2 linked regions of the Rattus norvegicus genome follow. The protein of the gene in region 2 purifies or fractionates together with the protein of the main gene of each other region. This does not show direct contact. Links are inferred from orthologs where the notes say so. Each region holds a gene or a part of one and is shown on either strand. Other genes may lie near its edges. The genes, in order: Csnk2b and Rps6ka4.

What was found.
Region 1: the proteins of Rps6ka4 (region 2) and Csnk2b purify together in Homo sapiens (affinity purification with mass spectrometry; 3 studies listed by BioGRID and IntAct, with this or other methods). This does not show direct contact. The link is inferred for Rattus norvegicus from reciprocal best matches to the Homo sapiens genes RPS6KA4 and CSNK2B.

What each region holds. Positions count from the first base shown.
Region 1 is NC_086038.1:3,704,277-3,708,804, reverse strand, and holds the start of Csnk2b (casein kinase II subunit beta), read right to left. Parts: upstream 3,083-4,528; 5' UTR 2,964-3,082; intron 2,370-2,963; coding exon of another isoform or gene 2,359-2,369; coding exon 2,287-2,358; intron 1,707-2,286; coding exon 1,604-1,706; intron 769-1,603; coding exon 653-768; intron 307-652; coding exon 231-306; intron 95-230; coding exon 1-94. Other genes in the region: Gpank1 (G patch domain and ankyrin repeat-containing protein 1), read left to right, coding at 4,001-4,037. UniProt on the Homo sapiens protein: Regulatory subunit of casein kinase II/CK2.
Region 2 is NC_086019.1:213,459,134-213,463,546, forward strand, and holds the start of Rps6ka4 (ribosomal protein S6 kinase alpha-4), read right to left. Parts: upstream 2,850-4,413; 5' UTR 2,802-2,849; coding exon 2,747-2,801; intron 2,660-2,746; coding exon 2,588-2,659; intron 1,923-2,587; coding exon 1,704-1,922; intron 1,613-1,703; coding exon 1,497-1,612; intron 487-1,496; coding exon 379-486; intron 161-378; coding exon 80-160; intron 8-79; coding exon 1-7. UniProt on the Homo sapiens protein: Serine/threonine-protein kinase that is required for the mitogen or stress-induced phosphorylation of the transcription factors CREB1 and ATF1 and for the regulation of the transcription factor RELA, and that contributes to gene activation by histone phosphorylation and functions in the regulation of inflammatory genes.

The sequences.
Region 1 (4,528 bases), on a different chromosome or scaffold from region 2:
GTGTGGTGGTGCCTAGAGGACTTGGGTGTGTACACGTCCATGCACTTGGGGCAGTAGAGCTTCACCATGGCCTCTCCTGGGATGTCCGAAAGGCCTGGGAGATAGAAAGCCAGAATGCAGACCAGGAGTCCCCAACTCTCCCCAGCCTCCCACAGGACTCAGGCACTGTGTACACCAAGCCAGCTTCTTGCAGGACGGCCAGAGAGTGCCCTCCTCCCATAAACACTCACCGATGGGAAGCATCGGCTGGTTCTCACAGTATACTCGAGGACAGTAGCCAAAGTCTCCTTGCTGGTACTTTTCCAACTGACATGTATAAAACAGAAGGGAGTGGTCGGTGAGTGCGTAGGCAATCTCAACGCACTCCCGGTTCCCCCACGCCTCCCGAGTCTGACTAGAAGCCCCTTCTGTGGAGACAGGCCCTCCAACCCCTCAGGTGCTTTTCCTTCGTGGGGCCGGCTGCAGAGCACAGGGCTGTTTGCCATGTGTCCCCTGCAAACTCCTTTTTCTGGTTTCATCTCCCTTCCTGAAAACACCACCTTCAATGGGACCCTCAGTGGCCCTGCCCTGGGCATCTCCCTCTCTCCTCTTCCCCAGCCTCTGACTCATGCACCCTTCCCCTCCTGTAGAAGTAGCAGGAGCAGAGCCTCACCATTTGTGCAATGCCCCGGTTGGTGAGGATGTAGCGGGCGTGGATCAACCCATAGAGCATCTCGGCCGCCTGCTCAATCAAGTCACTCTGGTTGGGGTTGTCTTCCAGCTCTTCATCTGAAATGTGGGGCGGCCACTTGTTTAGCTTCCCTAGGTATCCCTACCTTACCTGCAGTACCTGTTCCTAAGCTCGCCCTACCCACCATCCATGCATCTGACCCAGAAACCTGGGCTCCTGACTCCTCTACAAGGTCAAGACCCTCAGCGCAGCCTCTCTGTATGCCTTAGTCTCTGCCTAAGTCCCTCTCTCCTTCCACAGTAAGTAAATGTAAACACACAACCACAGAGGTGGCCCTCGAGGGCAGCAGAGGGAAAGAGGCAGCACACCAGGCCCAAGAGGAAATCACCATTACAAAACAGCCGAGCTGCTTTCAGAGAGCATCAAGACCAGGCAAGGAATCAAAACAGTGGAGAAGTTAAGCACTGCTGTGTGCCTCTCTCCAGCATGGAAAGCTAGGGCAGGACAGCACGTGGTAAAGTCCAGTTTGGGTTATGAATGGAGGGGCTAGAGGTGGGGGAGGAAACACAGGAGCAAGCGAGAATCAAAAGGAAATTTAGAAATTCAAGAAGCAAGCCAGTCTGTGATTCCAGCACTCAGGAGGCAGAGGCAGACAGATCTCTGTGAGTTCGAGGACAGCCTGGTCTACAGACTGAGTTCTAGGACCGACAAGGCTACCCAGGAAAATCCTGTCTCCACTACCCCTCTCCCCGCAAAAAACAAAACAAAACAAAAACAAACAAACAAACAAACAAACAAACAAAAAAACCCCAACATCAACAAATTCAAGAAGCAAGCAAGCAGAGAGCAGAAGAGAACGGAAACAAAGCACCCACAAGTGCACTCTATCACCAACCCCACAGTCAGCAACAACCCAGGACACACGTTAGTTACCAGGTTCCAGGTCCAAGATCATGTCTAGGGCTTGTCGATAGTGAGGCACCTGCTCATTGAGTCCAGTAAGATTAAATTTGTCCTGGATGTAGTCTTCATCCACCTACAGGGGAGTCAAGGGGTTCAAACCAGTATAGAAAGGCCCGTCATCTTCCCACCTGGGCCCAGGAGATAGTCTTTCCTCAGCCAAGCCACCTCTCATGTTTCCTAGTCCCAGTTCTGCAGAAGTACTCAAGTTTCATAAAAACTGCAGCTCTTTTCTTTAAGGCAAACCAGATCCAGCACACAAAGACATTATTCAGCTTCTGTCCCTCATTTTACAAATTGCATGTGCCCTCTTCTTGGGGACAGCAGACTCCTGAGCTGAAGACCTCGGAATCATGAAGGTCAAGTAGTTTAGTTTCTGAAAGGTATTTATAATTTTCTACCTTAGCACACCGTGCTTTGCACGTTACACAACTTTGACATGAGAGGTTTTAACTGCCCTAATGGTCACCAGAGACACCTCTGTTAGCCATGCATATTGACAAACCCTCACAATACTAGCACTCAGGAGGCGGCCGGTAGGATTGCCAGGAGTTCAAGGCCAGTCTAGTCTGCATAGTGAGCTCGATCGAAATCTGCTCTCAAACGACGTAAAATCAAACATCGAGGGCATGTGGAGTTGGCCGACCTAAACTCACCTCACAGAAGAATTCATTACCACGGAGCCCACAGAACCAGGAAATCCAGGACACCTCCTCAGAGCTACTCATCTTTATGTCCGCTGAGAAAGAAGAGCCTAAGTAAGTGGAGACCAAGCTGTTTCTGGTCTCTTCCCTCCTCCCACACGTTCTCCACAACGACGGATGAATCCGAGTCCAGCCGGGCTTAAAGGATCCCGGCCTCTGAAGCATCTCCAAGCTCCTCTCCTTTAGCTCGGCCCCCCCTTACAGTGTGCTGAGAACGAGTTCCGCTACTTTCCAGAAAATGACAGGTCCTGATCTGTTAGTGTTACCCCCGTCCCTGGCGCTCCTCACGGCCAGGCCCCTCTCCCCTCCATGTCAGCCGCGACAGGGCCCTCGGCTCGGGCTCCCCACCACCGCAGGTGCCTGCATATTCCTGGCGCCTGTCCCAAAGCTCCCGAAGTTCATTTTACCCAACAGAATCGGCCTCTCCTGCCCTCGCAGGGTTGGCGAGGGCACCACACTTCCGTGGGACTCACGAGCGTCCCCACAAGCCGCCTCCTCTCCCCAGGCCCCCCGACCTCCTTCGGCTACCGACCCGGTCACTTCCTTCGTCGCCCCCACATCGAGGAGCACCGACCCGAGTGCCGCGCCCAGGGACCGGCGACTGGGCGCGGAGACAACCCCACACTCACCGGCCGGACGGGGACTGGGACTGGGGCGGGGAAGGGGAGCTGTGCTTCCAAGGAACGGCAGAGACCGCTACAGCGCAAAAAGCCGACCCGGCCGCGGCAGACGAAGTGGGGAGGGGGGGACTGGAAACTGGTGAGGGTTTAGGGGTTGGGGGGGAGAAGAGAGCAACGCGCAGGCGCTAAGGACCGCCCCCCTACCTCCGTGGACGCCGGGAGATGTAGTCCCGTCAGGAGAGAGAAACTGACGAAATGAAGGGAAGGCAAACTACCAATCCCAGGAGGACCCGCGCATGACTCTAGGGCCGCGAGGCCCTAGAGGAAGCCGCCCGGGGGCGGGGCGAACGGAGCGCCACCGGAAGCGGAAGCCTAGCACGGAGTCTTCTCGACCAGGAAGCCTGGGAAATATAGTCTTAGGAGGCTGGCTAGACTACGGGGCTAGCGCCCGGGGTGATTGTCATCCCTACGGTGCTCTCTCGGCGTTGCGCTTTAGTTTTTCTCCCTCCTCCCCGTGCCAGGCCAACCCACTGGACCCTGGCTCTCCTGCCAGGCCCGCGACAGAGCGCGCTCGGGCTCCGGCATGCGCAGAGGTGTGGTGAGGGACTTAGGTCGGGTGTGCTTAGGACGCGCTGAGCTGTGCATACGGCGTGAGAATCTAGACCGCCCTGCGCGCTAACCTGAGGTGGGGCCAGCCATTCTGCCGCTCGTCCCTTTGTACTTCTCCATTTCCTCAGAGCTTGATGGAGCGTCCTGCTGCGGACCCTAACTGTTCTTCAAACCCTGCTCAGAGTAGTGGTGAGGGGTGCCGTGATGTTACTTCATCTCACAGCTCCTCGGCATTCCACAGGTCTCCCCCTCTGTGTCCTCAGAGTCTTTCTGAACGCAGAGGGTGGCCTCCCAGCTCCAGGAAAGGAGCTTGGTGCTGGAGGGACCAGGGCGAGGGTGGCGAAGAGCATTGTGGGGGCGTTATGTAAAAGCAGGACCCCAACCGACAGGTTCCCCCTTGGGTCCTCGCGCTCCTGGGCACGCGATGCTTTACACGGATGCTTGGAAAGGTTCCAGCGCGGGAAACTGAACCTTGTGGGTGTTTTGTTGTTGTTGCTGGTGCGCATGCGTCATGGCTCCCTGTAGCTCTGATTGTATCAACTCTTAGAGATTATGAGAGCGCCATTTTGCGGTACGGAAATGACAGTGCAGCGTCTTTCCCCGAAAGCTTCCGGAATAATGTCACGCCTGTTTTTTATCTGGGAAAAGGAGACCCCCCCTAGATAAGATCGAGCAAGATTTAAAAGGCTGAACTGATATTTTCAAACGGTATGTGTTAGAGGACAGGAAAAATGATTTCAGAGAGAGCCTGGCATTTTTGTAGGAAGATGGGAGTTGAACGCAGGACCCCTAGACCCCTATTCTTGTGGAATATTTTTCCTGTTATCCTTTTTCTTTTCTGTGTTAGAGATAGAACCTAGAATTCTCAAATTCGGGGCGAGCATTCTACCCAGAGACATAGGTACCTACCATGCCCTCCTGAAATTATATTAACATTGTGGCAGGATCAGTTATTCCTGGGTTAC
Region 2 (4,413 bases):
CCACAGCCTATGGGGCAGGGTCAGAGTGAAGGCCTTGTGCACTAGCCCCACCCCTGCCATCTTCACCCTGACAACCCACCTTGCCATGTCCAGCCTTGCTTCGGATGATTTCGGGAGCCATGTACTCGATGGTGCCACAGAAGGAGAAGGTTCGCTCTTTCTGGGAAGCCAAGAGGACCCATTTGGATACCTCAACTTCACCCGTACCCCAAAGGCCCTAAAAACTTAGAGCAGAACTTGCTCAACTTTAGAAGACTCGGAACAAAACAGTGGGAACCTTGTACCCAACTACTCTGCAGCGCCCAGGGGGCTGATATGGAGGGAGCACAACAAAGGCCTGCCTGGAAGCACCATGGGCAGAGCTTGCCATCCACTCACCTCCTCAGTCAGGAACTCCTTGCTCAAACCAAAGTCTGTGAGGACAATGTGACCTTCAGAGTCAAGTAAGACGTTCTCCAGCTTCAGGTCCCTGTAGATGATGCCCAACTGGCAGGAGCAGAGGGGACATTGAGTGCTGCCCTGATAGTTGTCCTACACATTCCTGCGGGTCCCCACTTAGGATAAAGATGTGCCCTGAAGATGTCCAGGGCAGGATGAGGCCGGGGCAGGGCTAGTTATTAGTTAAGAAAAGCCACTGGATCCAGGCATGTAAGCACACACCTGCCATCCTAGTTGACAGAAGGCTATGATAGGAGGCCAGCCTAGGCTACTCATCGACTACCAGGAGAGCTGGGTTACAAAGTGAGACTCTCAAAACAAAACAACAAATGAAGAAGAAAAGGAAGAAGAGAAAAAAGTGAGGGCTGGGGCTGGGTGGGACTGGTTAGTAGAGTACCTAGCATGAGCTCCTCAGTTGGATCCCCAGCACCCCAAGAAACTGGGCGTGATGGACAAGCCTGTACTCTCAGTTTCAAAGAGACAGGAGCTGCAGGGTCAGAAGTTTAAGGTCTTTCTTGACTACATAGGGATTTCAAGGCCAGCTCAGGCTACGTGAGATGGCTAAGGGCCATCGAGAAGGCTCAGCAGACAGTGCTGACACTCTGAGATTGATCCCTAGCATCCATGTAATGGTGGAAGGAGATCATTAATGTCACAGAATCTGACCCACATATGTACTCTGGCACATATGCACATACACTTACCACAGATGTACACAATAAAAACGAATAAGAAGGGAATCAAGAAGGGCCACCAAAGGGATAAATCGAGAAGTCCTGTGCACGGGCCTCCAAGAGTGTAAACAAAAAGCCCCATTTCAGAGGTCTTGGGGACTGAGGTCTGAGGTCACCACTTAAGGAAGTCTGATGAGGGTTAGCCTAAGTTCCTGTTGAAGGAAAGCCCCTTCCAGAAGTCTCTGGAGCAGAAGACCCTCCAGGTCATGCCAAGGCAAGCAGTTTTTTCAAGATCCCCACCCATGCTGCCCCTGAAACAGGAAGCCCCTCATTAGGTTCAGGGCAGTCCCCAGAGAGCAGCCAAAAGCCAGGGCCCTCTCCTACCTTGTGCAGGTGCTCTAGGGCCAGCACAATCTCTCCCCCGTACACTCGCACCTCAGCCTCCTTGAAGTACTGGCGCTGGTACAGGTGAGTGAACATCTCACCACCGCTCACATAGTCTGGGGGTGCAGGAAAAGTTGAGATGTTCCCCCACAAGGTAGCCTAACGACTCCCATCGCCCTCCAAAGCTAAGATATGACAGGCTCTCACCCAGGATGAGGTGCAGTTTGGCGTCCGTCTGGAAGGCGTAGTGCAGTGTGACCAGGAAGGGTGCCTGGCGTACCAGCTCCAGCACTGAGCGTTCGGTGCGGGTATGCTCCTGCGTCTTGGCGCGCTGCACCAACGCCGCCTTGCGAAGCACCTTCATGGCATAGAGCTTGCCCGCATCGTGCCCACCCGCCTTCCGCACCAGGAACACCTTCCCGTAGGCTGTGGGAGCAGCAAGCAAGCGGTTGGAAGGTGGGCTGTAAGTGCGAGGGCGGTGCAGACTGGTGGGAAGAGGGGTGCAAAAGGCTGACAGAGCCTTCTAAGGAAAAGGTGAGCCCTCCCTGGAGGGTGCTCAGTTAAGCTGGAGAAGCAATGTGCAGTGCAAACTAGCCTGGGGAGCTTGCAACTCCAGAAGGCCTGCGGGGCGGGGAGGGGGCGGGGCACGTGCAAACCTGGGATGATCAGAGAGCTGAGAAAAGATGAAAACGCTGGCACGGAGGCAGAGGCGCGCTCCTAGACAGCGTAGGGATGTGCAAACCCGGACTGGGGGATTTGCAAAATACAAGAGTGGGGCTCGCAAGGAAAGAAGGGGGAGAAGCTATGCAAAGCCCTTGGGAGGGAGTCAAAACCCCAAAGAGACTAGGAAATCGCGGCAGGGGGCATGCACACACAGGACTTTGTAGAGAACAGTCTTGTCAACGCGGACGCCCTGCAAGTGGGCACGGAACCCTGGTACGGTGGGGCGGGGCGGGCAAGGGGTGCTCTGCCGGGAAAGGGTGGGGGGACCTCCCCAGCAGCCAGGCCCAAGCCCAGGTCCAGGCAAGTGGGCGGGCAGAAGGCCCAAAGTACCATGCCAGGGCACTAGCCCAGTGAACGCAGTTTCTCACCTCCCGTGCCCAGCACCTTGAGCAGCGCGAAGTTCTCCACGCTCACCTTCTCCTCATGCCCGGTCAGGTTGGCTGCGGGCACAGGGGGGCGAATGAGCCCAGCGGGTCGCTGACTCTTGCCATCCGTCCCGGGCAGCCGCCTCGGGATCTGGCACCCACCTTCGGTGATCTGCAGCTCCACGGCGCAGCCCTCATCCTCATCCTCGTCTCCCATGGCGGGCCGGTCGCTGGGGCCCGCGCGGCTGGGGCTCCGGGCGGCGCCGGTTACATGGCGGCTCCGGCCGGGGCGGGTGCTTCCTGGTGCCGCCTCCGGGGCCGAGCGGGCGCCAGCACCGCCTCCCGGCTCCCCGCCCCGTGCGGCCTGAGTCAGGCGGCTGGAACGTGACAGAACGGGGCTGCGGGTGGGAAGCCTGAGAGGGCGGCAGGGTCTCCCGGCCCCTGGACCGGTGAGAGCCGTGCGGGGCCTTTGGATGGCATGTGGCTGCAGCGGGAGAAAGCCTCCTAGCCTGGCGTCGGTCCCGCAGAATATGGAGGACACTAGAGGTCTGTGTCCCAGGATTTGAGGAGGGCTGCCCACCCAGGCTTATGGAGCCCTCCCTCCCACGTGGCAGCCTCACCTCTTCTGCTCCTCTGAGCCAATTGACACAAATCACAGCCCACCTCCTTCTTTAGGACCACTCGTTAAGCTCAGCAAATACAGTAGGGGTCTTTCTATTCCCTGGACATGGGGGCCCTAGGCTCTTGATGCTGGGTCGGTATTGGGCATCTTGAGAGTACACTTCAAAAACAGGAAGCCACTTTACATGGGTAAAGTTACTTTTGCCCCAAAGGAGACCATCTGAGTTGAATGCCTGGTTCCCTCCCACATGGTAGAAAGAACCGACTTCCACACGCTGCCTTTAGATCTAAATGCCTGCACCTACATACAGTGCAAACATATGGCATAATATAAAATAAATGTAATTTCGAAAAGAATTAAAGAGGGAGCCTGCAGGGCTGATTGCTCAAGGACCCCACTCCACCTATCCCGGGGAGCCCCACCCTCCCTCCGGCAGCCTCAGGTGCCCTGACTCACATCCTGCCACCCAGCCTAATTGTCCCTGTATTAGTTAGCTTCTTTGTTGCTGTGATAAAACATTCTGACTGAAAGCAGCTTGGTTTTCAGGTTACAGTCCGTAACTGAGGGAAGTCAAGGCAGGAACTCAAGGCTGGAATCTGGAGATGGGAACTGAAGCAGAGACCATAGAGGAACACTGCTTGTGAGGAGGAGCACTGCCGCTTGTGAGGAGGAGCACTGCCGCTTGTGAGGAGGAGCACTGCCGCTTGTGAGGAGGAGCACTGCCGCTTGTGAGCACTGCATCCCTTGACTTGCTTAGCTAGCTTTATTACATAACCTGAGCCCATCTACCTAGGAATGTACCACCCACAGTGACTTAAACCCTCCTATAATCAATTAGGAATCAAGAAAAGGTCTCCTCCAAGACGCCCGTAGGCCAGTCTGATGGAAGCATTTCCTCAGCTGTGAGGTTCCCTCTTCCTAGGTGTCAGAACTGTGACATTTCACCCCTTTAACCTGTCTCTGCTAGAGCATAACCTCTCCTTTCTTATTTGTCCCTAAGATCCTATGTTAATATTGCAATATAAAAAAAAAATGTTAGCCAGGGGAGGGGGAGGGGCTAGGGGGCTGACAGACAGGAAACTGGGAAAGGGAATAACATTTGAAATGTAAATAAGAAATACCCAATTTAATAAAAATGAAAGGAAAAATAAAAAAATTTTTTAAAAAGTTCACATACACCTTTAATCCCAGCACTCAGGAGGCAGAG